Linked DNA regions of Arabidopsis thaliana. The protein of the gene in region 2 interacts with the protein of the main gene of each other region in a pairwise test. Each region holds a gene or a part of one and is shown on either strand. Other genes may lie near its edges.

Region 1 (8,203 bases), on a different chromosome or scaffold from region 2:
AATATCCAATTTTACATTTTAGTGTTACTAATCTTGTGTCTAAAAACCAACAATGTATTGAAATCTACCTTGCTGATTTTTGTTGTCTAGCTCCGACAAGCTCGATGAACTACCTCCTCCCGTTGCTCCTCCTCCATCGGAATCAACACCACAGACTTGTCTATTAGAAGAAACCAAATGTCTCTGCAAGAAGCCACTTTTACTCGCAGTAACCCATCTCTCATTCTCAAACGACACCGTTTGGTCATCAGAATTCCCAACTCTGAAACTCTGTTTCTCACATCTCCTTCTCTTAGCTTCCATTCTCCTAAGCGATTGCATCTCTTTCCTTTTCCTCCATTCCTCTTCCATCTCCGCCGGTAACGACGTCGTTCTCTCTAAACCCACCGTGTAATTCTCAGGCTCAGCCACAGTTGAATCGTTGAATGGTACAGTGTCCAAAACAGAAGAAGATCGTTTCAGCTTCCTCGGAGTCTTGTCTACTCCGAATCTACCACCTAAAGACAAACCAAGATTGAGCTCAATCGTACTCTCATCATCGCAGTTTGTTTCTCCGCCGTGAAAGACTCTTCCACCGCCGTTTTCAGACATGAAACCTCGTAACAGATCTCTCGGGTATTTATCTATGTCTAGAGAAAGATTTGTCGTAACCGTCATTTCTCTGTTCCATGCCCTTTGTTGTCTGCTTGCTTCACCCATAGATTCCGAAACAATAGAAAGAAAGAAAAAAAAAGTTTTTTGTTTTGTTTCTTCTTTGTTATAAGATGATGAAGAAGAATGAAAAACTCTGAATTTCACATCCGATCAAAAATCCAAAATTGTCATCATGAATTAAACAGTAAATCTCGCAAATTCATATCAAAGTAAAAAAAAAAAAAAAACTCGCCGGAGTTAATACCAGAGACGGCGAAGAAGACGAAGAGGTTATAATTGAAAGTGAAGAGCAGAGACAAAGAAGAAGACCCTTTTGGACATTAGAGGAAAAGAGAGAGAAGAAGAAAGAAAGAAAGAAAGAGAGACAGGCCTTGACTGAGAGGAGGCAAGTGGCCGCCGAGAGAGCTGCCTGAACGACACGTGGCCGGTGGATTACGTCGGCGTTCCATAGTGCTGCTTCAAGAAACGTGTCGTAAAGTGACTGAGTTATCCAGTGTCACGACACGTGTCTCCCAAGTAAAAAGATCCGTTTTCTCCTTTTTCCCCTTTTCTTTTTAATTTTTTTGCACAAGTTTTTGTAAAAGAGAAAAAAAAAAATCTCAAACTCGAAAAAAAAAAATATTACCTCAAAAATTAACAAAATCAGACATAAACGTATATAGAGAGTAAGAAAATGACAGACCTGATTAGTGATTACTTATGGTATCGTTGATTTATAATTTTACAATCTCTTGTAATCTTATTTATATTGGGAGAGTTAACAACAACATAATTTGAATATGATAAATCTAGCGACTCGACAACGTCACTCACGTGGGTTAGACCAAAGGACCCACGAAGCAAGCAAGTTGCTTGTGAAAAAGTGAAGGGAGAATAAAAACACTTCCATGTAAAAGTAATTGAATACTACTACTACACAAAGGCAATCATCAATAAACCATAGTATATAAACTAAAAGACTTAACAATGATAATATAAAGTAATTAACAAGGTAAAGTTTGATTATTGGCGACTAATCGTTTGATGGAGAAGAGTTTAGATTAGCATAATGAGCAATATAACTTAGTGAAAAAGTCTGATTATTATTGATTCAGTGACAGTTAGGTTTGAGAATGAAATCTATAAATCGAAAAGAAGATTTTTAGAATCCTTGGTGGGTCACTTTGTTGAGTCAAGTGGGGACGTCAAGATCTTTACACCATAAAAACCAAAAATGCTACGTGTTCGTCACCTGTTGGTTTGTGTAATAATGCAAACTTAGAGAATACTACAATACGTCGTCGTTTGAAGACCAACACCATTCACATCAAGCCCATAAGTTTAAGGGTTCGTTGCCCATTTGTTTTTTTCACTAGAAAATATTTTATTCGGTTTGGTCCTAAAAGATGTCTCAATCAATTGACAACGAACTTCCGATTAATTTTGGTTATGTGTAAACCGGACCAAATGAAGATGATTCAGAATGGAAGGTAAAAGTAATCATCAAATTTTTGTTATCCCAAACAAAATCTCAAAGAAGGGATTATCACCTAAGAGATAAACCTACTCCAAAAGAACTTCTAATCTCTCTCTCTCCCTCTCACTATCTCTTCCTATAAAACCTCAATTTCAAATGAACAACAATAACACAACAGAGTTTAACAAATGACTTCAAACTTGTTTAGCCTCTGGATTGAGTATTTTAACGGCTAGCTTCTACCGTACCGTTCTGATGAACTTTGCCATCACCATTGTGAGCCTCACCATTGCGTGATTCACCCCGTCTCTCAGATCCATTTCTTCCATAGCCTCGACCTCCATTGGAACCGTTGCCTCGAGGCCTATACCCATCGTTTCTGTAACCGTTGTCGTTCCTATAACCTCCGTTTCGCATTGCGGGTCTTCCATTATCGTTGTTGCCTGCAACGGAACCAATGGTTTCAGTTTTTCTACCCTGAAGTTGGAGACATTAGTACTAAACTTTACTTTGACTTACCTCGTTTCTCTTCTATTGAAACTCTTCGGTTTCCGATTCTGATGGCTGATTCTTTGTGAGCCTAGAGTTGTGTAGTAGAACATCAAAAGAAGAATCCAGTTTATAACCAAAAAGTTTGTAAGAAATATCGTTGATGTTGAAACATACCTGGAGGACCAATTTCACAGCTTCAGCAGATGCGAATGTCACAAAGCCAAAACAGTTTCCCTTGAGCTGCAAAAGAAAAACTTAATGAGGATTTCAAAAAAATTGGCTGTGAAACAAGTTTCTTCAAAAGATCCATTCAATAAACAACTCACCCTGTAACTTCTCACTTGGATACCATCTTTCGTAATAGCTCCAAAACCTTTGAATGTTTCATTTAGTTGCTCTGGTGTAGCGTCCATGAGCAAGTTGGCAACAAATATCGTATAACCCTCAGCTGATACACGAAAAATGGTAAAATCATATTAAGACATAGAAAAAGGTGAAAGAAAATCAGTTTTTCTGAAATGTTAAAACATTGATTTAAAACCTTGTTGGTCGATTGTTGCAGCAGAAGAGTGTTCAGAAACAGGAGCAGGAGCTTTGGATTCACGAGCAGCACTCGGCTTTGTAACAGGCTTAGACTTAGGCTTTGCAGGAGAAGCTTTGGCATTGAATGTAGCACCGTTTTGAGCCAAATCTTGGACCTAAGGGTAAGTTGCAAAATATTTAGATTATATGAGCAAAGATTAGGCTATAGAATAGGATTTCACACAAAAAAGAGGACTCACAATATGTGCAAATGATTTCTTGGGAGCATCAACACCATTGCTTTTATCGTTCACAACATTATCCTCCTGTGTTTTGGGATGTCCATTTGCTACAGCTCTTTCTGGTTTCTTCACTGTATTTTCGGTTGTCTGTTTCGCCTCGGGTTGTTGGGTAGGGATAGTAACCGGCTCTGCAACTTCATCTACCTGCTCTGTTGGTTGGACCACTTGAGGAATAACCTCCTCGACTTCTTTCTTGTTAGCTTCTGGTTCAACAATCTCATCAGCAACATACCTAAAGACATCGTTGAGAACGAAATAGCTTCCATTCAGCGGCACAAGGAAAAACGATTGAGAAAATCTCATTCTTTGCCCCTCTTTCACGGTTAGTAAACCTGTGACTAGAGTCACAACTCCATTCATGTAAGATGCTTGGGAATCAGCAGTCAAAATCTGAATCTTTGAGATTTCGTAATCGAAGGACATAATCTGCTCATTGATAGCCTGCAAAACAAGATTAAACAACTCTTAAAAACGAAACTTTGCTTCCAATAACAAGATTTACATATGTTTGAACACAAAAAGCAACTCCATCCAATAGCTTACTTTCAAGGATTTGACAGAAACCATCTCTCCATCAGAACCAGGACGGCCTAAAACACTATCGTCGAGATAAAACTGATGCACTTGCGATGGTGACTTATACAAGAGGTTGTAGTATTTCTCAACAAAAGAATTGCCAATAGTGTTTGGGTCCACCACTGGAGCATTTGATTCAAGTGCCATCTCTACCTAGATTCAAGAGATTATCACTAAGGTCAGATATATAATCAAACAAATGTCTCGAAATTAAAACATACTCATATGGATGAACCACAAGTAGTGATTTTAGTCTCACATTGCCATTCAAATCAACACTAAGGAATCCACAAATCTCATTAGATCTCTTATAGCTTTAACAAGAGATTTATTTGGTGACTTAAGCGACTTGCAAGTTGAGAATCTATAAATTGAATATACGTTAGAACTACATAGATCTCTATACAGCTACTAGATATTGGAAGAATGTGAAAAGATTAAGCTTTTACAGAGGATTCCAACAGAAAGGAAAAGACTTTTAAGACAGAACATGAAACCCAAATTGAAGAACTACAAATATCAATCAAACAATTGATAACAGTAAGAAAATTGGTGTATGAACTATGAACGAAAGCGATACCTTGGGAGAAGATGAGAAGAGAAGCAGAATCAAAAATCTCAGATCAGTTCGAAGAGAAGACAGAGTAAGACACAGGGAGAGGGAGGGATGAATATATTTGTATTATAATATATATAATGGTTAGTTCTAGGGTTTTACTTAGAAATCTCCGACGAGGAGAAATTGGGATTGTTGTAGCCTTGTATTGTAGGGCTTTCTTCAAGATTTTTACACTAAAATTATACTACTATTATTATTTATGGTAAGGAGGGAAGTTTTCCTTGAATTGTTTGTTTTTGATGATTATGTATATTGTTGAGTTATGGAAAGTTGTGGCTAAGAAGAATTGTATTCTAATTTCATAAAAAAGAAAGAGATATAAAAAAGAGTGAGTAAAAGAAGCCCCCGGCGAGGATCGAACTCGCGGCCTTTCGCTTACGAAGCGAACGCAATACCACTATGCTACGGAGGCCTTTTTGGAATGCTTGTTCAGTATAACATTATATAATAAAACAACAAATTATGACTTTTTATTTAAGGCTCATTGCAATAAAATATATACTTCATAAGACTCAAACTTGTGTATATTATTTAATCGTGAATTTGAGATCAAAATTTGTTATAGAATGATTTGTTTTGAAATAAAACAGATTAAGCCCCACAAAAAACATATTTTCTTCCTACGAAGCTTGATGTGCTGATTTAAGAGTTCCCCTATTATCGGCCCAATAAAGAACTAGTGGATATGCATGGTTCGAGGAACCCATGAATCGTTTTTTTTTTTTTTTAAATGTCTGCTTGCCCTCTGAGCCACCAAATACACAACTAAGCATAGATAACAAATTTGCTTACAAAAATCTTTAATTAAGAAGTTAGAGTGTATTATTTTATAAAAATGGAGCCAAAGCAATTAAGGTGAGATAAGTTTGAACAGTACATACTTCTACCATATATCAAGAAATGTTTCACGAAACTTTTCTGAGTATAATTTTATCTCTAAGATAAAGCTATATGATTATAAATCAAAATGTTAAGTTGAAAAATGTTTGAACAACGTATACGAAGTTGTATTATTTTGGTTTATTTTAATGTTATAGTCTAGATTTTTATTTCCTTAAATTTGTGTCTCCTTTTTATTTCTTGAAAATGTATGCTCATGCATGTTTTTGATTACTTGGAAAATGTAATTATATGTAAAGTCTTTTTTAACCTCACAGTTAATGGAAAGCATCAACCTTTGGATATAAAATATAAAAAAAGAAATTCTATGAAACAAAAAAAATATCATCAATCGACACATGCATGTGCATATATTTATAGATATTTTTTTTTTCGGTGCATATATTTATAGATCCATATCAATCTTGAGGGAAAAAAAAGATCCATATCCAAATCCAAATGGAATATCAGTGTGCAATTTTCGTTAGGAAAATATTTGATTTAATAAAAAAAGAAATTCCCAATCCATATCCTTAGCCATATACCAAACAAGGGGAAGAGTTGATGACAAGAGAATGAGATCACTCTAGTTATGTTTGAACCGAACTAGAAGTCTTTTTGCTAGTTGAGAGTGTAACTACATGAAGTCTAGTTGTTGAGACATTGACATGATTGGTCTCTCAATTTCCACTTCCTTTCTTATTTGTTCAAACATATCTATTCTTATGCTTTACTGTAAAAAATCTATTATAGACCTACAAACAAAACAGTTGTCTATAGTGAAAATACTCCTGATGTTATGTCTTTTTCAATAAAAAAAAATATATATATAACATGCTCTTTTAACTAAGTCTGTCAGAGTTCAGAGTTCCCAAAAGTCATAAATGTAGTTCTTTACATAAGTATTTAATTATTGGTCAAAGTCTATCAACTACTTCTATTAGTTTCAAAAACTTTATCAACTTTTTTTATTAGTTAAAATACACATAAATTAAATGTTTATTATTATTAATGCAATATTTCCTATTATAAATATCTAAAATGATAAAGATAAATCTAAGAAAACTAAAATATGATAATATATAATTTGAAATTATGTCTATTTATATTTGAATGATATTTATACAAAAACAAATCTCAAATTAAATTGTGAAACTATCAAACAAATATGAGTAATAGGTTATAAGAGGGATAATTGTCATACATTGAAAAACAAATTGTATTCATTAAGATCTATTTCAACATGAAGTATGATAGATTCAAACTAAAAAAAAATGTTACATAATTTCTCGAACTATTTAACGAAAATGTTGGTGTAGTACAAATAACTTAAAAATTCATGTAGTATCATAGAGGTGGTTATGATGTTACAAACAAATCCGTAATATTCATTTGATATAATGTATGTTCAATCAAAACACTCAAACATGATAAATTTCTCATAAACTAATTCATAATGTAGTTGTATTCATACTTTATGTTACATGAATTCATTTGATTAAAAATATTTCAGGCTAATGTATTTTAAAAAGGAGTCATAACTACATTTCTATGTATTATTTAGAAAATATAGTTGTAATTGTGTATATGTAGGTATGATTTTTGAGATGAAATAAATGAATACTTTATGTTTTGATTTTGCTACTTCTTGTTATCACTTTTCTGAAACTATTTCACACTACTTGTTTAAACTATTTTATGCTTATATTTGTAGAAGAGAGAGTTGTGATTGTATTTCTATGTTGTTATTGTTCAAAGTCTACCAAAATACTTCAATTCGTTTAAAAACTTTTATCAGATATTTGTTTTCGGCGACAAAAAAATATGATACACTATTTTGCTATATAATGCTACAATTCTAATTAAACTACTTAACGTTATAAACTTTAAACTACTTTACGCTTTCCTTTCAAAAACAGAATCGTAATCAAACATTTCAAAATAAAAATAGGTTGACTAGTTTGTAAAAACTATTAAATATGATTACTCCATGGTCGGGGTCGTTTTTTATTATATATTCTCTAATCAAACTATTTCACACTGCATAATGTATTTGCTTAAAATTATTTCATGCTCTTCTTATAAAATAAATATCGTAATTTCTATGAATTTATCAGTGAAAGTCTACTAGGTATTTCAACTACTTTCAAAATTATTATCAAATATTTATTATTTGGTGACAAATTAATATCATGAATTGATTTTGCTATATATTACTACAAGTCTACAACTCTAATCAACCTATTTTAAGCTATAAAACTACATCTAATTAAACTACGCAATGCTTTAAAAAAAAAAATTGTAACTGCACATTTCTATGTAGTCATGTATTTTAATAGACTACCATGGTCTGGCTTTAGGACGATCATAGATCATAAATTTTGTCTAATAATATCACAATATTATGGAATTGCAAATGTCAAGAATGAGAGTATTTCGGACTATAATGATTGTGATATTATTAGACAAAATATAGGTTGATCGAAATATTATGAGTGAGATCCTTTTTATTAAATTTACAGTATTGGAAAATGGTCTCCAAAATCTTGTTTTTTCAGAATTAAGTTATAGATAAATTATACGAAATCAAATAATAATACGAAAATGTAAAAATTCTAGTAAACGGTTGTTCTCTATTTCTATTACTAGTTTAGTTACTATCGATACAACTATAGTAAATGTGAAAGGGTTCGCTGTCAAATA
Region 2 (8,457 bases):
ATACTGAAGCTCCTAAGAACTCTCCTGCACCCTGCAGTTACATTGGAAAACAAAACATGTTTTACGTTCGAAAGAGATAAGAGTTGTCGATATTTTCTCTGCTTACTTGGCTAGTGATGGCTATCAGTAGTATTGTCAACACGGTGAAAAGGAAGCAGGGGATGTTCCTATTGAACTCAGCCATGAAGTAGACAATGATCATGAAGAATGTCGGGTACAAAACGTGTGCCACCATATCACATAGTGTACTGCATACGTAATACACACTAAGTCTGTACATTTCTGCTTTTCTTTCTTTCACCAGGTAGATCTTCTCGAAGGGGAACACGTATACTGCTCCAAAGAGTGATGACGATGTCCAGAAGATGCAGATATAGAACATCAAACCAACCTGCACACAAGCTTACCAGATAAATATATAGGAGGCTTATAACCTTGGTATAGTCACAAAATATATATATGTAGTTTCGTTACTTGGTCTCTAAGGTGAGCCTCTGTATCTGTCTTTGACTTCCACCAGAGAAGACCCAACACGACGGCCACACCAAGTGATTGAACTAGCCTTAGCTTATCAAAGTAATCTCTACGCCGCTCTCTGAATGTTCTTCTTGAAAGAATCAAGAACTGATCCCACCATGAAAGAGTCCAGTCCTTCTTCACTTGGATTGCTATTTGAAGATGCTCTGGGGCCTTTCTATTTCTATGATTTTCTTCCTTCTCTTTTGGCTCCAAGTCTGTCTTGTACCTTTGTTTCAAGTACTGCAAACCATGAACACTAGAATTGAGTCCCATGAACAGTAGAATAGGCTATGACTTAATGTGATCCTTACTTTGAGTAAAACTTCCTCAGAATCAGGCTGTGCAGTTTTGGCAGCCAATAGTTCGTCGGGTAGACTAATGTCTGAAACTTGTCCGGTTGCCAAGTCTAGCAAGAACTCTGCTGGGTTCATTGCAATCTCAGGTAAGATTCTCAAAGATGAGAAATACTCCATAGATTCTCTGGCTTTGCCGTAAAAGGCAGGGTGTCCTTCTGATATCAGTAAGAGCTTGTCAAACATGTGAAACATTCTGCTTGATGGTTGGTGAATTGTCGTTATAACGGTCCTGCCTGCCTGAAAAAGACAAACTGAATCTTATTCTACTGTATCTTTCAAGAACTTTGTTAGTAATCTATTTGCATGTAACTAGAAACTGATACCTTAGCTACTCCTTGAAGAATATGAAGAAGTTTGGTGGCAGAAGTGGAGTCAAGTCCAGAAGTTGGCTCGTCTAGAAGCAACAGAGAAGGATCTACGAGAATCTCATAAGCTATACTTGCTCTTTTTCTTTCTCCACCTGATATTCCCTTGACAAAACCTCCTCCAACTCTTGTCCGACGGCATCTTTCATTGTGTTTTTCAATAAATCTTAGTTTAGTGTTTACAAGAAATGTGTCTGGACATCACCAAGAACATGCTTGAAGAAAGTCTACGAGCTAGGTCTCACTATAAGCTGGAAATATTCAAGAAGTGTACCTTTCGAGGCCGAGCTCTTTGATGATCATCTCTATTTTGGCGTATTTTTGTTCCTTGCTCATGCTACTTGGAAGTCTTAAAAACGCAGCAAATGCCAAGGTCTCTTCCACAGTAAGTTGTGGCAACAGAACATCGTCTTGCGTCACAAAGCCAATTCTGGAAAACAGGGAAAGATCAGCACATAATAGTATGATTCAGGTAGGAGAAAATATCCAACTCACCTCCTCTTAACAGATGGACTGTAAGGAATGTCATTATAGGTAAGCTTCCCCTTGACATTATCTGTCAATCTTCCTCCCATTATCTTCAGAAGAGTTGTTTTGCCACTACCCGAAGGCCCCATTAGCGCAAGGATTTCGCCAGGACCTGTGCTTCCTGTTATGCCTTTCAAAATGTGCTTGTATCCATCTGGATCCGGATTTGTATGTGTTACCACCTTTGACACCATTGTTTTCACCAGGTTTGCTGAGCTAGCATGACTGTTTCTCACCTTATACTCCACATCTTCAAACTGCATATAAATAAAAGAGGCGAAACCAATAAGCTTTGTCTTAATGAAGGAAAATCGAAAGCAAAAGAGAAAGTTGAACCTTGAGAAAGATGGGAAGAGGGGCATCTTCGAGAGGATAAGTGGAAACGAACTCTTCATCAATGTCAATCTCGGATGAGTATTGGTTTCTGAGGTAAGCTTGTGGCATGAACTCCATGTTGTGAACTATGCCATTGCTTCCTGTAATCTGCATTACATGATTCTCTTCAACTTCTTCTGTTGATCTTCTGATCTCCATGTTATCTTTCTTATTCTTGTTCCACAAGAAAATTGTTATGAATGTAGGCTTGTGTTATATAACGGAAGAAGTGTGTGGATCAACTGTGTCAAACCTGAAACTTTCTTGCTTTTTGTGTTCTCTTTTTCTCTCTGTTTATCAGGGTGTTAGTTTGGTAGACCACATTCTTTCAATGTTTTTGTATTAAATTGAATGCATTTGTTGACTTGAACAAGGAGCAAATGAAACTATATTAATTTCAATATACTTTATATGGTACTAAAATCATTTACATTTATCGACTTGGCTTGCTCATTGACGATCACAACGTACGAGAATAAATGTCCACTTGCTCATATAAACTGATCACTTGATTATATTGTAAGATTCGGAAGAATTACAGATAAACGAGATCAAAGCGGTTTGTGGCACTCACAAAAATTGAAAAAACAAAAGGCACCAATTCTCTTGTCCCCTTGCCAAATACTAATCTTCTTCTTGGGGGGTGATGTATCCTAAGTATGTACACAAAATCACTCAAAATTCCAGACTTAAACATCTCGTACCAATCTGAATATGCATCTTTCTAGTAATACTCCTTGACCTAGTAGTTGTTTCCCAGATTTGTTCGTGCAGCTTGAGGTTGCTGATTAGTTACGTGCGATGGTCCTATGGGTTCAGTCCTCGCAGATATAGATAGAGGCGCCAGTATTGGCTGTGTTTGTTGATATAACCCACGGATCCCAGCCTGCATGGTTGGGAAAGCTATAGGCTGACCTTGAAGGGATAAGTTGTACATGGGACTGGCCTGCAGATTGGCTAGACTCTGCTACATGGAGCCGTGTTAAAAAACTATAGCATAACATGCAATGACAGTGGGGAGAGTCAGAGAAAAACTAACCAGTGGTCCAGTTGTGTACATGTTTTCCTTCTTTTCTTCCTTGTGAGTAGCATTTATGGTGGCTGCTGATGGGATGTGGTTGAAGGCGTATGAAGTATATGAGAATGGAATCGTGGTAGGTGGAGAGTTTCCAATGTCGCTTCCGGGTTTGATGTGAGTGAGAGGTAGTTCAGCCCCTGGAGGTGCTGGAGCATCATCTCCGGGTGGTAAGTAAGACTGTTGTTGGAACCCATTTGGGCTCAAGTACTGGTGAATGTATGGTTGCGGCATATAATAAGGGGGGAAATATGGACCATAAGGGAAATAGTTAAGAGAGTATTGTTGCCTATAAAGGTGCATTGCCTGTTGAGCGGCTGCTAAGGAATACTGATCAGGATAGGAGATAGGTGGAGCATCACACTTTGCAGCCTGCAATTATCAACAAAATATAAAAGACAGTGATTAAGCATTGTGTTCATATTTCCTGGCTAGAAAAACCACGCGGTTGGCCTGATGCTGACAATGAATGCACAAGACTAAAAAGACATTGTGTGGGGCTTCTTGATAATAACCAACCTGATGAGTGTCTGTGATTGGTAAAACCTCGTTCTTTACTTTATCTCCTTCTGAACCTTCTTCAGGGAGAACAGTTTGATCTGGCTGCAATGTTAACTCGTTCTGAGCTGCTGAATTTGAAATCTCATGATTCTTATCCTGAGAAAAAGTTGATATATCTTTCCTGCAAACCAAGTTTCATATAAAGGTATTCATATCAGAAACTCATTCATCTGAGACTCTAGATCAATTCATGAGAATATTGAAGCAAGTAACACTGTAAGATTTACTCAAAGTAGCTATTAGTCACCAACCTAGCTGATGCGGCTGTCCCATGAGAAGACTCAATATTGGAGTCATCACACCCAATAGTAAACTTGTCAGAAGATGCCTCTCTCACAAAATTAGAATCGAAGCTCCCAAATGTCAGACCATTTTCCAGCATTTTGGCAACCTGAATGTGGACAGGAAATGTTACGTGCGGCCGTTCACCAACATCCGACTTGAGAAGCGACTCATTCTTGCATTTACTGGCTGCAACCTCACTCTTAATGACTGTTCCAAATAAAGCCATACGTCGAATCACATAAGAGGCTGTAATCAAACTCAGGAACAACTTAACAGAATACAGAATGCACTTAAAGCAACATTAGCAGGCAAGTAATTATATGGTATAATTTATACCTCGCTCGGACTGTTGTGGGATCTGAAAAGTTTCAACTACAGCATATTGAGTATCGTTTTCTACAACAGAATCTGATACAGCCACTGATACACTACTTTCTTTAGACTTATCCGGCTCAACAACATCCTTAGAAGAAGAAGTAGCCTTGGAGAGAGGCTGTTCCTCTGTGTCCACCTTGTCCACAGGGGATATGATAGCATCTTGAATTTTCTGGTTACTGATTCCACTTGGAAGACTTATAGGGTTCGGGGCCCTGAAAAAGAATAGAATGCGTTAGGAAGCCCATATCCAAAGAGGGAATTAAAGACATAGACAGAATTAAAAGTATGGATACATTATGGAAGAAGGTTTTGTGTCGTTTCTTGCATTGTTAGGAGCAGACGAAGCAGTTCCAGAACCTCCTATTATGTGATTAGCTCCACTCTGCTTTTTAAAAGCTGCACTTCTTCCATTACTGGCATCTGAATCAACAAAGAGCTTGAATCAAGGAAGGAAATATAGAACACAAGTTTAGAAGTAAAAGAACATAAACCACAATGACCTGTGTAACTTGAAGCAAAGTTCTTCCGTCCAGTCCGGCCCCTTCCTTGTGTATTTGGCACTAAATTCTACAACAGGTAATACACATAAAGGCATAAGAGAAACGAGATGATGTAAGCTAAACAGAGAACTCAAGACCACACTTAAAATGCAAAGTAAGGATTCAAAAGAACATAGGAAAGCTACCTCTTTCTTTCTCTCCCGTTTGCTTCTCACCTCATGAAATGTATCTGAAAGATCAGTAATAATATATGAGTACATGTCTGCTATCAAAGTACATGATTATGTTGATCTTGAAACAGTAGACAGAATCAAAACTTAACCCAGATGCCCAATCTCAATCAAAGCTAAACAGAAATTCCCTTTCCACATTCCAGCTAGATTGGTAAAGATTTAAAACGACAGTTTCTTAGTCATGAACCCAAATTCTACATATTCCATTTCAGTAAAAAAGATTCCTTATTTGAACATCCCCAGACATATTATACCAATTAGAAATCTAAATAAACAAAACATAAGATTCTAAGCATAACACACAGATTCTAAGACAAGACCAAAATCGACAAAGGGCATTAAATAGCAAAATCCAAAACAAAACCCTAGGAGAAGCACACGCTCAATACAACAAAAAGGAAGTAAAAACACTAAAACAAAAACAAATGCTGAAGCTTTCTCAGTAAAACAACCTAAATAGAGAAGCTTCTGAGTGGTCTCATGTGGATCACTGAAACACTCCTTAAAGACAGAGAAGATATCCTCGTCGGAATGTTGTTTACCGGTAACCTCTCTGATGTTTTGAATGGTTTGAAGCAGATCAGCCGGAATAGAAACCCTAGAGCCGCCATCGCCGCTGATCCTGCTCATGTTGGTTACAGAGAGAAAGAGAAGCGGAGGGAGGAGGAGAGAGGAAATATGGGTTGAACATAAAGACTTCGTATATAGTACTATTATTTATTTCCGTACAATCTACCGCTTAATGTCTCTCTCTACGTATATTTATACGCTGACGTCACTGTTTATCAATTTCCTCCTCATTATTTGATTGAGTACTATTATTTATTTCCGTACAATCTACCGCTTAATGTCTCTCTCTACGTATATTTATACGCTGACGTCACTGTTTATCGATTTCCTCCTCATTATTTGATTGTTTTGTACGCGTTTAATGGAAGGAGAGACAACAAAGTTGATATGGCCGAGTTGGTCTAAGGCGCCAGATTAAGGTTCTGGTCCGAAAGGGCGTGGGTTCAAATCCCACTGTCAACAATTTACTTTTTTTTTTTTTGTCTTTTTACAAGAATAGGAAAAATAGACAGCTGTGTAAAAAAATATTAACTTTGTTTTGTTTCCACAAGTCGATGTCCAAATTTAAGAATATATATATATTACACGATTTAGCTATCTCCTCTAATTAGATGAAGAGACATCAGATCTTATCAAAACCCTAGCTTTCGGTGTCTCTCTCGATCCTTTAGCTCAATCGAAAACTGAATTTAGGAGCTGCGATGGGTTCCAGATCTCGTAATGATAATTTCCAGTCCGGCGATGGCGCTAGTCCTGGGTACGTTTACTTCTCCTACCTCTTGCATGTTTGATTCCACAGGATTAAGGGAAATATCTCATAATCTGTTGGCTTTGTAACTCTTTTTATATTGTTGGTTAAGGTTTAATTTATGTTTTGCTTGGAATTTTTGTGTTGCAGGAAAATATTCATTGGAGGATTGCACAAAGACACGACTAATAGTAAGTTTCTTCCTCTTGTTTTGTTCTAGAAATTGCGTTTCTAAGTTTTGTTATGTTATGGATTCTTGTGTGTGTTTCTGATGTTAGACCTGTTGGAATGTTGATTCTACTTGCTCACTTTGGTTTTGATTGCAGCTGTGTTCAATAAGCACTTTGGCAAGTACGGGGAGATTACAGATTCTGTCATTATGCGAGATCGACATACTGGACAACCTAGGGGTTTCGGTTTCATCACCTTCGCTGACCCTTCTGTTGTTGACAAAGTTATCGAAGATACTCATGTCATCAATGGCAAACAGGTCGGCCACTTCTCTTTTCTTCCTTCACTAGCTTATAGTGTTCATTTTTAGTAGGGTGTTGGGTCTTGATCAATACTTTTTTCCTTGTTTTGATGGAACAGGTTGAGATCAAAAGGACTATTCCGAAAGGTGCTGGTGGCAATCAGTCAAAGGACATCAAAACAAAGAAGATTTTCGTTGGTGGTATACCCTCAACGGTTACAGAAGGTAGACCTCCCTCTTGGCATGATATTTTTTTGCTTTCCATGAGAATGCTGGTTTCCTGTCCTTATTGAAGTTGGTTTCTTTTTCTGTTGATCAGATGAACTTAAGGACTTCTTTGCCAAGTATGGGAACGTGGTGGAGCACCAGGTTATTCGAGACCATGAAACAAACAGGTCCAGAGGTTTTGGTTTTGTAATTTTTGATAGCGAAGAAGTCGTAGATGAATTATTGTCCAAAGGAAACATGATCGATATGGCAGACACTCAGGTAAGCTTGTACAAATGGGGATTAGAATTTTGGTTCATGATGACATATTTATCTTGGTTTCAATTTGATATTTTCTCCTTGTTCCTTTCATTATACACGTTTAACTTAGTTAGAATTCTACCCACTAGCTTACCAAATGTAAGGAGCTTGTCACAGTAAGATAGGAAATCCCTGCTATAGTTTGGGTCCTTAGCATAGCTAGGTTAATTAAGTTGCTTTGTTGTAGGTGGAGATCAAGAAAGCTGAACCAAAGAAATCTCTAAACCGTTCACCTCCTTCTTACGGTAGTCACCCTAGAGGTCGTTCTTCTAACGATAGTTATGCAAGTTATGGTGGACCTTACGGAGGTTTTGATGGAGGGTATGGTCATCCTCCAGGTCCCATTAGGTCACATGGAGGTCCTGCTAGTAGATATGCTGGGGGATATGGGTATGGTCGTGGCAGTGTAGGCCCTGAATTTGGAGGAGGTTATAATAATTATGGGGGTGGTAGTTTAGGAGGTTACCGGAATGAACCACCCCTTGGCTATTCTAGTCGTTTTGGACCCTATGGGAGTGGGTTTGGTGGTGAGGGATATGGCCGTGGAGGAGAAGGAGCCTATTTGGGATATCCTCGTGGAGGAGGGGAAGGCTATGGGGGATATGGTGGGCCTGGTTACGGCGGTGCATATGAATCTGGTGGCCCAGGTGGCAGTTATGAAGGAGCAGGTGGTCCATATGGGAGGGGTTATAGTAGCAGTAGTCGATACCATCCGTATGCAAGGTAGGGTCGAGGTAATAGCAATCAGTTGGAGCTATAGAAGCTTCTCTCACAGGTTCCTCTAGATTGTTCCAATTGCTCTAGGTGCATTCTAGAGTTATCATGTAGCGCCAACATCAGGAAGGGTTGCTAAGGACAGGAAGAGCATCAAAAAGCTTTTATTAGTCATCTTTTAGTTGTGTGTTTACCTAATTTAAGTGTTGTCTTATCTCTATAACTTAGATTGTGTTATGTAGACTTTAGC
Region 3 (8,062 bases), 3.9 Mb from region 2:
AGACTATCAGTGCGATAAACAAACAATTAAAATAAAAAAACAATAATAAGTGAAATCTTATGTTGTAAACAGACAAAAACTTGTGGTCGACAAAAAATAATAGAGGGCCATGCACCTGCATGCAGAACAACATATCGACGTATATCTCGATGAAATACTTTTATCTTTTGGTGAAATAATAAGATAGTTAGTGTTAGTGATAAAGATGAGTGGGATTGCAGTTTGCATGGGCTTAGGGTTATATACTAATTATAAATGAGGATTTTTAGGGGAATTCGTGAGCACTCCCACAATACCCTCACCGCCTTTTCGCCGCGACACCGACATGCGATATCTTCCTTTTTCTTTTGCCTTCTTTTTTGTTTTTACGTTTTCCATTTATTTTTTTACTAACTAAAGCTTTTTGGAAATTCAATATACATTATAACATATATACATGTTCCATAGCATATACAGCTACACCACGCGCATACATAGGCACAGATATGTACCTTCCTCTGTATCAGTGTATTACAGATATATATGAGCCAGCTGTTTGTATATATATAATATATACATTGTTTTATAACCCGTAGGGACATATCTTGGTCAGGTGTTGGAATCAGACTCGGACCATTATACTTCGACGATAGAACTCTCTAAAGCTTATTTTAGGGTTTAGTTCAAACCCCACCTTTCATCTCCCTATCGGCTTTGTTTCACCGTAAGAGGTAAAAAAAAAACGAAATTTGAAAATATAAAAATATGAAATGAAGATATATTTATAACAAAGCACAACATTAATATTGTGCAAAGAGAGACATACACACAGATATTTATAAATGGCAAAGACCAGATAAAGCTGAAAAGATAGCATCACGCTCGTATTCTTTCTATTTTTTATTTTGATATCAATTTATATATTTTGTTGTACTAATTAATATAGGCCAGAGGGCTCTCGTTTCCTGCCATCTAACCCTACCCGTCCGATCGATCAAAATCTCTTTTTTTTTTTTCTTTTTCTCTCTAAAATGTTTTTTTTTACAAGAAGAAAATCATCTTTTTATTGATAATCATAAAACGAAAGATTTTTAAAGTTTTGTATAATGTTAGCCTTGTATATACATATTTAAACTTTGAAGAATAAAAAAAAAAGCCAAAAACAGAAAAGAGCTAGATCAATATACAAAGGAATAAGGAATGTTCAAAGTTTCAAGTTTCAGGCGTTGAATACGAACTTCAGAAATGTTCAAAATACCCTTATTGAAAAGCATGTACATACGCTACTCGAAAGGGTTAATATCGGAGAATCGGTTGAACAGATCAAACATTGTATGACAAGTGTTACGTAAGTCTTCTGTCAGGAAAACTAGATTTTTAAAAAAAAAATCAAAAATCAAAGGTAAAGCGATCCGACAACCACAATCCGACAAGATTATTTATCTTTTACGATTTCTCATGCAAAGATTTTTTTCCAGAAAAGAAATACATGAGTTTAAACACTAAAAGAAGTAACTTTCTTTTTCAGCTAGAGGGAGCATAACTGTACGGACTTCTCTTACTATATTCAATATACATATAAAATCTTCTCTTCCATCAATCCTTCGTTTTAAATCTCATTTTAAGATTTAATTTATTGTGGAGCTCAAACCTGAGACACACAAAAAAGGCATTTCGTGTATAAAGGACACAAGCGTGGAAGCCAAAAGCATGTCACAAACTACAAACTTTGTAAACTTTGAAGAAAAAAAAAAAAGGCTTTTTCTATATAAAATTGTTCAAATTTTAATATTGTTATAATTAAACCCATCCAAATTAATTCATGGGTGCTGTTCTTATAAAATATGTACACATCATAATTCTCGAGTCATAATTCTTTTTCTATATATATAAGGAGGATGCTATTAATCTGGATAAGAAACATAAGATTCTGACTCCTTAACAAATTATGATGTGATGATTACACATTTGCTGGATTGATGATTACTCGGTCGTATGGAATTATATATTTTACAGAGTAGAATGGAATAAAAGAAAAACCCTGCCAAAATCCATATTGTACAGATTGAGGGAGCTTATCTACGTGGAAATTATGGTTTCTTACTTTATGATCATGTATCTGAAAATACAAAGAAAGAAAAAGAGAGAATTAAGTGGTAAGAAAATTAATGGTGAGAGCGGTAAGAGCCGACAAGAAGGACAGACGGAGCCGTCTATTACCAACAACTCCCTTCTGATAAAAGCCTGTTCTTCAACTCTCCTTGCCTTTTTTTTTTTTTTTACAAAAAAATGAAATTATTCCGATAACTATTATCGGTGTTTGTTTTCAACAGCAATCACTATCTTGATGTCATCGGTTTTAATTCATATGTTTTGTTACTTTTTTTCTTTTTTTCATGGAGAAGTAAATAGAGGTCATGTTATTATACACAAATAATAAAGAAAGAAACAATAATACTAATAATTAGAGGAAAACAGAGTTAGACTCAGAGGTGTAGTAGGCCTCTATAAATACTCTGCATGGCTCTCACTCTCTTCTCACCAACAAACTTTAGCCAATCCCTCTTTCTCTCTTATTCGTGTTTAATCTAGTTTCTTTCCAAACAAAAGTGTAACAAGAGAAAGAGAAGAGATATCAAAGATGCAATACCAGACAGAATCGTGGGGATCATACAAGATGAGCAGCTTAGGATTCGGCGGTTTGGGGATGGTGGCTGACACTGGTCTGCTTCGTATAGAGTCCCTGGCTTCTGAGAGCGCGGTGGTGATCTTCAGCGTGAGCACGTGCTGCATGTGCCACGCCGTGAAGGGTCTCTTCAGAGGAATGGGCGTCAGCCCCGCCGTCCACGAGCTCGACCTCCACCCCTACGGCGGCGACATCCAGCGAGCCCTCATTCGTCTCCTCGGCTGCTCCGGCTCCTCTTCTCCAGGGTCTCTCCCGGTCGTCTTCATCGGCGGTAAACTGGTTGGAGCTATGGACAGAGTCATGGCTTCTCACATAAACGGCTCTCTCGTTCCTCTTCTCAAAGACGCCGGCGCTCTCTGGCTCTGATCCCTTCCTCTGCTTTCTTTTTTCTTTTCTATTTGAAGTTTTCTTGTAAGAGAATGTGGTGGAGGAAGATTAGGAAACTAGTCAATGGCTGTAATGACAGGTTTTAGATTATAGTTTGTAATTAGAGAGAGAGTTGTTTTAAGCTCACCTTTCTCTGTCTTCCTCTTCTTCATCTCTTATTGATCTTTCGAATGCTCTCATTAAATCATAATAGTAAACACTTTGCATCTTTATTAATGTCCCCTGGATCCATTAATCAACGGTATTAACTGACGCCGTATCTATTCAAAGGCAGTTCCTGTTATTTTGTTCACACAAATTTACACACAAGGGACTTGTTGAGAGGGGATCGCTACGATCAGCTTAAATGATGCCCTACTCTGTCTAACCTATACAAAGCACACACACACTCTATGACTATGAGTGAGATAGGTGAAGCTTGAAGCTACTTGGGTTTGAAGATGTTACTTAGCAAATACCCCATTGTAGTTGTTTCGTGCGAAGGCCTGCTTGTACCAAGAACAGAGCAATGCTCCTTCTCCTTCTTCTTCACCTTCAGCTTGCTTACTCCTATCTGTTGTCTGATTGACTCCACGATTTTTGATTCAACCGGGTTTCCAGTCACGTCTGTAACGTAGAACGTGTCTTTAGCCTTACCCTCTCGCGTTGATATCTCTGCTCTCACAATGGTTAAGCTGTTCTCTCGGAATGTTCTGGTTATGTCTGAGAGAAGACCAACTCGGTCTTCTGCTGATAATTCCAGCTCTAAACCCTGAAAGTATGTTTCATATGCACAATCTGTCTTGAGTATATCAGAAATCGATGCAGAACAGAATGTAATTTGAGCCAAGACAGAGAATTTTCACATTCCTAATTGGTTACCTCCGATGCTCTCCTCTCAATGGCTGCTTCCAGACATTGTATGACACGTTCTTGCTCTGCTTCTGAGTTTATGGGAAGTCCATCCACATGACGGATGTAAAATTCCTGCAGCAAAACACTCATATTATTGTTAGAAGAGAGATCCCAACAGACGGCCGTTGAGTAGTTACCTGATAAGCCTCCACTGGTTCTGTGCTGACCATGCCATGGAACACCACATACTGCATATCAGTCAAAGTACAGACTACGTCAAACACAAGCTTTGGTCTATCTTTGGACCTCATGGTAACAACGGTATAATCCTTCTCAATGTTCATTAGTGTGACACTGGGCCTTGACGCCGATGTCCTTGCTCTTTTGACTCCCTCGTAGTCCCTATCATCAAACATGATCTGATGCAACCGTCTCTCCCTGTGTGTATCAGAACAAGAGAAGACTGTTTTCGCAGCTCTTGAGCCGCTGTTTGTCCTCACTACATTGCACAGCAGCTCCTTGATGGTGGAAAGGCGAATCGGGTCAGTAATGGCAGAATGAGTTGAATTGTCCGTGACATGAATAACCGCTGCAGCTCTGGTGTTGTGAGTCCATATCTCAGCGTTCACAACGTTGCAGTGAAGGTCTGTGAGAACAGCAGATACTTCAGACAAGAGACCGGGTCTGTCAGTTCCAGCGAGCTCAATGGATGTGTATTCGTCAGTGGGCATTACACCAACTGAGCTTCTCAAAGGTGGAATGAACCACCCAGCGTTGCTCTCTATCCTCTGCGCAATGAATTCAACAAACGTTTTACACAAAGAAAAAAACCTGTTGAAAATGAAAGAAAAAAAGTGATGAAATACATTAGAAACCTTTTGGATATAGTCAAGGACTTGAGTGTCTCTGATCTTATTGCCATCTTGGTCGATGACTTTGAAAACGTCCATGAACCAACCTCCATCGGAAGAGATGTAAGCTTTCTTGATCACAAGATTCATATCAGTGAGCACTTGTACTACTTCCAATAGAGTCCCATGTTTGTTCACACTATCAACCTTTTATTTAGCACCACAAACAAACAGGGAACTCTGTTTTCTCAAAATCTCTTTGTTTGGTACAGAACCACTTGAACAATTTGAAGAGACAGATTTATTTACCTGAATAACAGTGGCATCGTCGCTTGCGTTGTTGTCTATTACAACTCTGTATCCACCATGAAACATACATAAATAAAGATGAATGTTTTAGCAGCTGGAATCTTTACAAGGGTATAGAGGCTCACAAACGGAGCATGGAGAAACAGAGGACCTAGAAAACAATAAAAGAGTATGGAGAGAAAGAGAAAAACCTGGGAGGATTCATTCTCCTGATGAGCTTGGCATATTCATCATCATCCATGGTTGTAGTATGTATCTCCTTGGTGATTTGGCTGCAGCAGAAACCCAGAAGAGTGTGAGTCCTCCAATTTCTGAGGAAAATTCCTAAAAGAGAGAGGGAGAGGGAAGTTGAAGGAGGATAAAAATGGTAGGCCACCGGAACCGAACCTTGTTTTCATTAGTTGATCGAGCACGTGCCACTAAAGATTCTTAGAGATGACGTGGCACGGGCACAGCAACTTTTAGATTCTGTTATAATTGTTCGAATACTACCAAAAGTCGGGTGAAGATTTGGGGTCAATTTGATGATCATAAAGGGGATTATATTCTCCTTCTCAAGCAAGATGTGGTATTTACTAGTATAATAGATCATTCGTTATCTTGAGGTAGACCTCTCCGTAACGTTCACAGGTGCATGACCAAGTAACAATTTGATTCCTTTCCAGCATAACGTCATGTTGGTTGCAAAAAGAAGGCAAAGTAGAGCAAGCAAGCAAGCAAAGCATTTTTCTTATTTTATATTTTGTTGCGGATTCCACCACCCACTTGAAAAATTGACATGTCACAATGATTTCGTATCCTAGTCTTTTATTATTTAACACTCTCACAATCCCATTACTCTACACCTCTTTCATTAAGTCAACACACGGTTTTCAAAAATCCACTACCCTCCCACCACCTAGAATCTTTTGTTACCTACCAACACCCTCCTTTGTTCTCTTTATATATTGGTCCAACTAAATCAATAAGGGAAAGCATCCTTTTGGTTGGAGGAATTGCTTTCATTCTCACTCTTTGTGTGTTGATCAATGGACTAGCTAATAACAAGTTCCTCCTCTATATATTTCAAAAGAATGGAACAGAAACATAAACGAAAGACAGAGTACCTGATGTTGATGATTCATTGTCTGTCTGGAGCTCCCAAATGCCTTTTATGCTTACATATTCATAACCAACAACGGCTATTAATTATAAACCAAAAACACGAAATAAGTTTGTAGCAAAGTGAAATTAGGAATCTTGGAGATGGATCCATTAGTAGTAGGATAATAGGATATGATGGAATTTGGTTGGGGAACAGTGATAACTTACGCTTGCTTCCGGCGCCGGGAAAGTTGGAAAACCTACAAAGTACAGAAATGGATCTGGGCCTTGAAGTGGGCTTTTTATTAAAGAAAAAAATACATCTCCGTTATCAATCACCATCTTCTTCTATCTACAAATTAAAGAAGGTAACAACAGAACGTGGTGGATCATGTGGTTAGGCATTAATTATTTGCTTTGTTTCGCCGTTTTGGTAACACACAGACACAGTTCCGGTAAGAGCTTTTGCAGCCACTCTTTATAGTTATTTAGAATTGGCGATCGAATCAATCTCACTCCCTCCCTCCCTTAAGTCTTGTTGAATCTGCTGAATTGTTTTATAAAGAGTTACTTTGGCAAAATGGAAAATCCGGCGAAGAGAGTGTTGATGACATCCAACGGCGACGAGGTGTCCCGAAACATCGCTTTCCATCTAGCCAAACACGGTTGCAAGTGAGTCTCTCATTTTGTCTTCTTTCCTCCTATCCTGTGTTTCTTCTTCTAGCCCCGATTTGTGTTGTGGTTGACTTTGGTGTCTATAGTTAACCTTCAAAAAATGCAATGTACTGTTGCTAGGTTGGTAATGATGGGAAATGAGGGTTCCCTAAGGAGCATTGTAGACAAGATTAGAGATTCCATTGAGGGAGCCTTCCCTGCCGATGTTATAGCACTCGACATGGAATCTGACTCTGAAGTTGCTTTTCATGCCGCTGTCCAAAAGGCATGGGAACTTTCCGGCCATTTCGATGCTTTTCTCAACTCTTATACCTACCAAGGTTTAATTTGCTTCTTGTTTTTCACTACCCTGCCTTTGATGCTCTTGTGTGTTGATCATTCCTTTATTCAACAATCTTTCTTTCTTGCAGGAAAGGTGCAGGACATTCTTCAAGTCTCTCAAGATGAGTTCCACAGAATCACAAAGATCAATCTCACCGCTCCATGGTTTCTCTTGAAGGCTGTAGCCACAAGGATGAAGGACCATGGATCAGGAGGCTCCATTGTCTTCATGGCCACTATCGCCAGCGGAGAGAGGGCGCTTTACCCTGGCGCTGATGCCTACGCTTCAACTTCTGCCGCTATTCACCAGCTCGTCCGGGTATGCATCCTAGCTCCTAATTAGACACATCGCGTTCGTAACTTGAATATGTTTGTTGATGATTGGGTTTCAGGCATCAGCCATGAGTCTCGGGAAGCACAAGATACGGGTCAACATGATCTCTAGAGGGCTGCATCTGGATGATGAGTATACAGCTTCTGTGGGAAGAGACCGAGCGCAGAAGCTGGTCAAGGACGCTGCACCCCTCGGCCAGTGGCTCAACCCGGACACAGACCTCTACTCCACTGTTATCTACTTGATCAGCGATGGCTCACGCTTCATGACAGGCACCACTGTCTTGGTGGATGGAGCGCAGTCCCTTACGCGACCCCGTCTCAAATCCTACATGTGATCAATGCCTAGTATTATTATAATTCTATGTTGTGTGTAAAAAGTGAATATGAATCAAGTTTGAATAACTATGGAGGGATGAATAATCCATGGAATCAATGATTATATACTTTTGACAAGTATAGAAGAAAGCAAAGAGCCAAAATAGTCAACAATCTCAACATCATTCGAGCTCATTGTTTATTGAATTCAATCAAGTTTGGTAGGTGAACCTCAAATACACGTGATATTGGATATTATCTTGGAAACCTTGCTAATCCAAATTGT
Region 4 (7,141 bases), on a different chromosome or scaffold from region 2:
TCCTCAGGCTTCAAATATGAATTCATATATGCTGGTAATGTCTTAGCCAATCCCAACTTTTCCGCTGAAATATTTGATAACATATTTATCAGATTATATATATAAATAGATATGATTTATAATTTTGAAAAATATAAAAGTTAATTCAAATAGTTACCAATAAGATCAGAAGGAACTCTTCCATCAGAAAATCTTCCAGTGGCGTCGCCTCCAGGATAATCTTTACCATATGGAGGAAAGTTACATTTAAGAAGAGTCGGAAGATTATTGTTATTTCCTGTATCCATTATTGAATCTCCAAAAACTATTAGCGCTGGGATCGTTGCGTTTATCCCTTGCTTGACTGCATTCGCTTCAACAGCGATTAAAACCAAAGCAAGCAATAGAATTTGAAGCTTCATCTTCTTCTTTAGTTTGTAACTTTTCTGCTCGAGATTGGCTTGCGTTTTACATTCAAAGACATGTGCACATATATACATGGTTTCGATTTGTTGGACTTCTAAAAATAACTCTTTCAAACAACAGTTGTTAGGTTCTATATATGAAATCTCGAATTAGTTATTACTTTGATATTAGTTGGAACGATAACGAAATTTAACTGTTATTTCTTACCAATGACATGGTAACAAAATGGTCTATCACGTGAATATACTATGTTTGGCATTAACACCAATTTCATAAATATAACCGTAAATTAATGAAGACACAAAGAAAAGTATGAGTAATATGGTAGTGTAATTGAACATGATCTCTCAGAATATGGTAATATAAATTTAAATTTTCTCTTTTGTCAACAACACTCAACGGTAACTTAGGTGCTGCCAACCACACATTACGTTCGATTTCATGATTTGTTGCATTGCCTAACAAAAAGAAAAGTAAAGACATTTACATAAAAAAAAAATTGAAACATTTTATAATGGTTAATAGATTCTTGAAAACTAATTCTCCACAATTTGTCTCAAACAAATTAAATAAAGATTTTAACCATGACTTTGTATTTTTGCTAAATAATATTAACCATGACTTCTCTCACTTGGTTTTGTACCACATATGTCTTCATGGCATTGAGTTTCCCTCTTGTTATCGAAGCCCACAAATACAGAAAATAAATAAGTTTGAAAGCCCTTTGATTCTACCACACCACACACCATCTACGTCCAAAAGCTCTTTTACATAGTTCACTGGATTGTAACTTTCAATCCAAACTCCATCTATTTCACCCGCCATGATCGGGTCTGTCACTTCGAAAGTTCATCCCTGGACATCTGTGCGTTCAATCTTACAACAAAATCCCACAAACGCTTACCCGGTTTCTCCAACTTAAAGCTCAAGGATGCTCGATAGTTTCTCCCGTCTCAGATTTATTTTCTTTCTACAATATGGTATTCTTAGAGATTTCCAGATTCAGTTCCTATTTCTACAAAACTATTTCCTTTTTCTACTGTTTAATCGACAATCTATTTCTTTGTTTTCCTTGATGAATTTAAAACATCATTGCCAATTTAATCAACGAAACCACAAAATCAACAAAACCATAAAAGCAACAAAATGAACTAAATGAGTGTGATATATTACAAATGCAGTAATATATGATACATAAGTCTTGGGGTTAAAATCAAATACCTAAACAATATACAAGGTAACCAAACCAACCCAACACATTTACCAAAGAGTTAATGAAGAAAGATGAGGAACCTAAAAAACCATTTAAAAGAGTCCAAAGAATTTCACTACCCTTGTGAGCCTATTTGCATTTATCATTCTGCAACTGTCATATATATGTACCATTCTGCAATGGTATTCCCATGTTACCTCCATTCATTCTCTGATGGGCTTGACTGTGGACATCAAGCTTCAAATCTACAAACTGATGTATTAGCGCACCAGCTGCATCCCCCGTTACAGGCCATGCTAGAGGATTGTACCCGGAAATGTTCGTACCCGAAAGATCAAACCCGTTCATGTATTGGATATAACCAAGATTGTTGGTGGGAGGAGGAGTAGGATGAGGAGGAGCACAGTAAAAACCGGTGGGTTGCATAATCGGATTGTTCCATGAAACGTTAGCCACTTGTGCTGTGAATTGGTAACCATAAGGATATTGAACGGCTTGGACATTGTGATGATAACCAAAGACAGGAGGAGGAAACTGTAAAACCATCCCATATCCGTTTTGCTCAGGGACATAAGGTGTTGCTTGAAAGCTGCTGTAGGAAGGAGGAATATTAACAGCATTACCGTTATTGCTCTGGATTCCTTCTTTAGGTATTGCCCGTTTCACTTCCACGCGTTTATCACTCAACTCATGGAAATTACTCTGCATAACAACCTCAACAGAGTCCTCCGAATCATAAGTAACAAACCCAAAACCCCTTGGCCTGTTAGTCACACCGTCATGCATCACAACTACATCAGTAGTCCTACCAAACCTCTCAAAGTAACTCTTAAACTCTTCCTCAGTCGTGTTAGACGACAAACCCCCAACAAATATCTTCTTAGTCCTACTGGTCACACCATTACTCGACATCTCACGCAAACCACCATTCATCTGTTGCACTTTTCTCTCCAAAAACTGCATGCTAAACGGCTGTTGGTATAGTTCATGTTTCCTAATCGCCTTTCTCACATCAACCTAATACAAACACACACATAATCAATCCACAGAGTATACACAAAACCCAATTGACACAAGCATAAAAAGGCGGTAACACTTACGGGTTTACCGAGAATGAAGTGAGTGTCTCTAAGAGCTTTAACAACATCACAATCATTAGCAAAGCGAACAAACCCAAAACCTCTAGGTTTTCCAGTGACTTTCTCTTTAGCTACAACAGCTTCCAACACAGCTCCATATCTGCTAAAATACTGCTTCAGAGCTTCTTCACTTGTCTCTTTCGCAATACCACCAACAAATAACTTGTACCGATCATAATCCATATCCTCAAATACCCTAATTTTGCAGGTTTGTCTGAGATTTTTGCCCTAATTTCGGAATAGATAATAAAAAAAATCAGAATTATGACATCGAGAACACTATTAACAGTTGAAAATCAAAAACCCCTAAAATTAAACAAAAACCCTAATTTGTAAAATTTGGGATTCTAAATTAAGCAATGATTATGGAGAAAAGAAGAAAAATGGAACAAGAAATTGAGAAATTGTGACAAAACCCCTAATTTTTGGGAAGCGAACTGTAGAAACTAAAACCCTAGCAAGAAAAAAATTTCATGGCGAAGAGGAAAAGTTTACCAGATAGGAGAGAGAACAGTAGATTGATTTGACACGGCACGAGGGAGAAGACGAAGAGAGTTAAAAGTTAAAAACTCTTTTTAGCTTCTTCAGTTTAACTTTTTTTTTTTAATGTCGAGAGATAATGATGAATGTAACTAATGGGCTTTAAAAAAGCCTTTGTGATAAAGATTGTAAGCCCAAATCTTATCGTATTGTTTGTTGATGTTCTGTTTAATGTTATCCTCGTTTTTTTTTTTTGGTTTAAAAAAATGTTATCCTCGTTGGAAGAGAGAATATTTACATTTTGTTTAAATATTTTATTTTGTAAAGATTAGCTTGAGGTTTTGCATAATTTGGATGAGTATATTATAAATAAAAAAATTCATAGAAGTAATAACTACATTTTTTTTTAAAAACTTTTTTTTTATAAAATTGGATTATGTTTTATTATTTATGGTTGTTTATTTATAAAGCCCAATTTATGTGTGTTTTTAAAGAACTTAATATTTTTTTTTCTCTAAAACAAATGCAATAAACTACACCAAATCTTTTCACAAAAAGTTTTGTATTTGAAATCTAGCTACAGAATACGTCCTATTAGGCTATAACATATTGGATGGGTCGTTGGATTATAAAATTGAAAAAATAATTTAACTAAAAAAAAGAGTTATAAGTATATGAAGTCAACTATTATCAAAATAGTATTATGGGGTTAAAAAATTATATGAATTTTCATTAAGACAATATCCACTTATGAAAAGAAAAAAAAATAACAACCCGAATAAATTTGTGTAACGGCTAATTTTATTGTGACAATGTAAACGAGTGATTTTATTGTTTAAAAAACAAAAAAAATCATTATTTCTCATGTTTTTAAATATTGTTATAATTGAGTATATCTTGAAAAAAAAGAAAGCAAAAAAATCTTAACATATTTGACGTAATTATCAAAAACAAAGATTGTGTACTCATGTGCTTCGGCTTTGGTCTAAATGATGACATCAAGTTTGTTAATATTAAATTTTATTTACTAATTTTCAAATCTGAGAAATTCATCCTAACCAAACTAGATTATGTTTTTATTCAATATGTATACTTCTTAAACCTAAGAATCCAACAAAATAGAAAGATCCCAACTGAAATCATACCTATAATTAAAACTGCTACAATTTGTTTGATGGATAACTAGTTTAAAGAAGGTTCAAAAGCAAAACGGACGTACCACAAATAATTTACAATTCATGCATATGAAGAGAACAAGCAGCTTTAAAAGAAAGTAAGAAAAGAAAATTAATTTGGATAACTAGTCCTCCATTTGCATCATCGATTTTAATCATTTGCTTCACTTAGTCTATTGTCTTTTTTTTTTTGAGATTTTTGAGCTTTTTCATTTTTCATGGGTCAAAATTGTTTTCAAATGGTATTTTGTTTTGATTTTGTGATCTGCCTTGTACAGTAAATACACTGCTTATTTGCTTTGGTTGTGATGTTTTTTTTTAGCTCAATACTTCTAATTTTTGAAATAAGTCAGAAGATTATGTATTTTGTTTTGTCAACATGAACTTTTAGGTTAATACAGTAGATAGCTTAATTCATCTGCACTTATTTTATGGTTATAATTGTTAACATTATGTGTTATTCTTTTATATCTAAAATACTAAATAATGTGTATAATTATTTTAATCGGTATAATATTCTATAAATTAGCAAAATTTAATTTCATATAATTTGTATAAATTTGGTAAAATTATTTATATAAAATAGGGTGTTTGTAATATAAATATTTGATACGTATGACTTAAACTTCTTTCACCATTTAAAATTTTTTTGGACTGTAAGAACCGGTTGATATGCACTTGTTTCGCCAAAATCACATGATTTGTATTGTTCGACTTGATCCTATTAAACTGTTTGATTCGCTCTGCCTAATCTATTTTCTCTTATGAGCCAATATCTAACATTATCTAAATATTGTAAAAATTTATAGTACATATTTGAAAATCATATGAAATTTCAATACATGAGATAAAATGACAGAAGCGATGGATGTGTGTATACCTATAGAGACGCAGATTACGGACGATAGACTGTCACAAGGGCCACTACTAGCCACTAACCAATTTGCCATGTGAACATGAAATTTCACATCCTAAGGGACCAATTGGTCCATTTCCATTATTACCATTCAATCTACAAACATACACATAAATACATCTGTATATAGTAGAGTCTCACATGCATACACGTACATGCGTTCATGTGTAATCACATTATATGGTTTTAAAATTTATTCATCTACAAACATATGCATAAATACATATATCTTGAGTCCCACATGCATACAACGTACATATGCATTATACGTATCCAAGGAAAAATATCTTTTTAGCGAACCTCATAGTTTTTGGTGGACAATGACAATTATTGGAATATTTAATCTTAAAAGTTGAATGGAACAATATTAATTCTTTTAAGAAATTGTTAAGGATCGAATAAAAATGGTAATAAATTGGTTTCACTCTTTTGTCAAATTCATCAATTACTAGTGGGCACACTTAGTAAGATTGAGTGGACACACTCAAGATTGGATACATCGGTTTCTCTAATCAAGAATACCTATTTATCCAATTTTATGTTGTTGTTGGGCTTAAGCTATGTTCTAATATATATTGCTCAAAAACACTTGCGTATATGATTAGGTTTCTGATCTTAGAAGAGGAGGAGAAGACTGGCACCTCTACTCTCAAAGAAATACCAATTATTTAACGTGCATATCACGTGTATTCAAACTTTATGGGTTAGGAACTTAGGATCAATATATAAGAATGCATGTCAGCATGTGTAAGTTGGAATCAGGTTGCCACATAACGACATCATCAATTGCACTAACCACTAGGCTACAAGTCGTGTCGGTTAGTATTGCCATTTTTTCTGAATAATCGTTATGTGCTAAAAATATGCTCGATTTTGCATGTATATATAGAAATGATCTTTAATTTACATCTCTTTCTTTACTATAAGAAAAGATAATAATAACGTGTTAGAAATAGGAATCTAACATATTTTGGAATTAAGATGTGTGAGTTTTGGTCCTTGTGCGTTTAAAATTTTGAATTGGAAAATAAATGGACTACATGATTAGTTGTCGAAAATCGAAACCAACCATAGACTGATCCTCGAGTTTTGTTCTTAACTGAATCTTAAACACATGCGGAACAACTTGAGTTTGGCCCACGGATTTGGCCCGTTTCAACACTTCTACGTTACATAAATATAATGGAGACTAAAAATTCATTTCAAGAGAAAACGAGATTAAATTTTTCCTTTGGAGAAAACTTATTTTGAGCTAGTCCAAAAAAAAAAACCATTTTAATTCCGGTTCAAGAAAAACGTTGATAAAAATAGTTTAGAATTCTGTTGTTTAAGAAATTTTGATAAATAAAATAGCTTGCTATATATACAAAACAAATAAATGTGGCCAGTAATACACATAAAGTGTACAATAATGAGAAGGACCCATGACCAGCTGTGTAGGAATGTACAAAGAAATGGGAGTACGAAACTTAAAATAGTAAATAAGTAGAAATGGTCGCTATATATTTACATGTTCAATCAATGGTACTTATGCTTCTTCTGTGTGTAACTTTATTTTATCCCTTTATTTATGTAGTACTCAAAAATATTCTTAGAAGTCTTACAAACTAGAATTTTGCATTTGTTTAGTACTAATCAAGTTCAAGTTGAGATAACAATAATTGACAGCGTAAAAACTGAGACATCTAACTTATATTCGTATGTTTTCTTTACTGGAGCTTCCAAATTAACATTACAACTAATCTATATATAAACAATCATAATATGAATTATGAATTATTTATCTAATTTAAGTAATTACAACATTACAAGT

What was found.
Region 1: the proteins of GIP1 (region 2) and AT1G13730 interact in a two-hybrid assay, tested with the Arabidopsis thaliana proteins (one large-scale study listed by BioGRID).
Region 3: the proteins of GIP1 (region 2) and ACR6 interact in a two-hybrid assay, tested with the Arabidopsis thaliana proteins (one large-scale study listed by BioGRID).
Region 4: the proteins of GIP1 (region 2) and RBP1 interact in a two-hybrid assay, tested with the Arabidopsis thaliana proteins (one large-scale study listed by BioGRID).

Annotation. Positions count from the first base shown.
Region 1 is NC_003070.9:4,706,465-4,714,667, reverse strand, and holds AT1G13730 (Nuclear transport factor 2 (NTF2) family protein with RNA binding (RRM-RBD-RNP motifs) domain-containing protein), read right to left. Parts: upstream 4,912-8,203; 5' UTR 4,583-4,911; intron 4,452-4,582; exon of another isoform or gene 4,262-4,451; intron 4,156-4,261; 5' UTR 4,150-4,155; coding exon 3,970-4,149; intron 3,868-3,969; coding exon 3,385-3,867; intron 3,301-3,384; coding exon 3,144-3,300; intron 3,051-3,143; coding exon 2,929-3,050; intron 2,843-2,928; coding exon 2,777-2,842; intron 2,691-2,776; coding exon 2,630-2,690; intron 2,554-2,629; coding exon 2,336-2,553; 3' UTR 1,996-2,335; downstream 1-1,995. Other genes in the region: AFP2 (ABI five binding protein 2), read right to left, coding at 69-699.
Region 2 is NC_003074.8:4,248,402-4,256,858, forward strand, and holds GIP1 (GBF-interacting protein 1), read right to left. Parts: upstream 5,878-8,457; 5' UTR 5,806-5,877; coding exon 5,628-5,805; intron 5,172-5,627; coding exon 5,128-5,171; intron 5,010-5,127; coding exon 4,943-5,009; intron 4,863-4,942; coding exon 4,736-4,862; intron 4,655-4,735; coding exon 4,401-4,654; intron 4,272-4,400; coding exon 4,031-4,271; intron 3,901-4,030; coding exon 3,738-3,900; intron 3,591-3,737; coding exon 3,183-3,590; intron 3,108-3,182; coding exon 2,886-3,107; 3' UTR 2,557-2,885; downstream 1-2,556. Other genes in the region: ABCG26 (ABC-2 type transporter family protein), read right to left, coding at 1-31, 107-391, 475-759, 831-1,112, 1,199-1,382, 1,515-1,670, 1,736-2,025, 2,105-2,302; AT3G13224 (RNA-binding (RRM/RBD/RNP motifs) family protein), read left to right, coding at 6,447-6,502, 6,644-6,684, 6,820-6,983, 7,085-7,190, 7,285-7,454, 7,681-8,220. UniProt on the Arabidopsis thaliana protein: Plant specific protein that enhances G-box-binding factor (GBF) DNA binding activity. May function as a nuclear chaperone or lever and regulate the multimeric state of GBFs. May contribute to bZIP-mediated gene regulation.
Region 3 is NC_003074.8:327,481-335,542, reverse strand, and holds ACR6 (ACT domain repeat 6), read right to left. Parts: upstream 5,445-8,062; coding exon 5,434-5,444; intron 5,407-5,433; exon of another isoform or gene 5,319-5,406; coding exon 5,238-5,318; intron 5,093-5,237; coding exon 5,047-5,092; intron 4,945-5,046; coding exon 4,762-4,944; intron 4,675-4,761; coding exon 4,084-4,674; coding exon of another isoform or gene 4,033-4,083; exon of another isoform or gene 4,019-4,032; coding exon 3,914-4,018; coding exon of another isoform or gene 3,902-3,913; exon of another isoform or gene 3,830-3,901; coding exon of another isoform or gene 3,804-3,829; coding exon 3,477-3,803; 3' UTR 3,421-3,476; coding exon of another isoform or gene 3,390-3,420; 3' UTR 3,032-3,389; coding exon of another isoform or gene 2,621-3,031; 3' UTR 2,481-2,620; downstream 1-2,480. Other genes in the region: ROXY1 (Thioredoxin superfamily protein), read left to right, coding at 2,621-3,031; AT3G01980 (NAD(P)-binding Rossmann-fold superfamily protein), read left to right, coding at 6,710-6,801, 6,925-7,444, 7,518-7,796. UniProt on the Arabidopsis thaliana protein: May bind amino acids.
Region 4 is NC_003070.9:21,723,173-21,730,313, reverse strand, and holds RBP1 (RNA-binding protein 1), read right to left. Parts: upstream 3,352-7,141; 5' UTR 3,253-3,351; exon of another isoform or gene 2,986-3,252; 5' UTR 2,941-2,985; coding exon 2,719-2,940; intron 2,636-2,718; coding exon 1,775-2,635; 3' UTR 1,512-1,774; downstream 1-1,511. Other genes in the region: AT1G58525 (GDSL-like lipase/acylhydrolase superfamily protein), read right to left, coding at 1-64, 158-401. UniProt on the Arabidopsis thaliana protein: RNA binding protein. Can also bind in vitro to single-stranded DNA.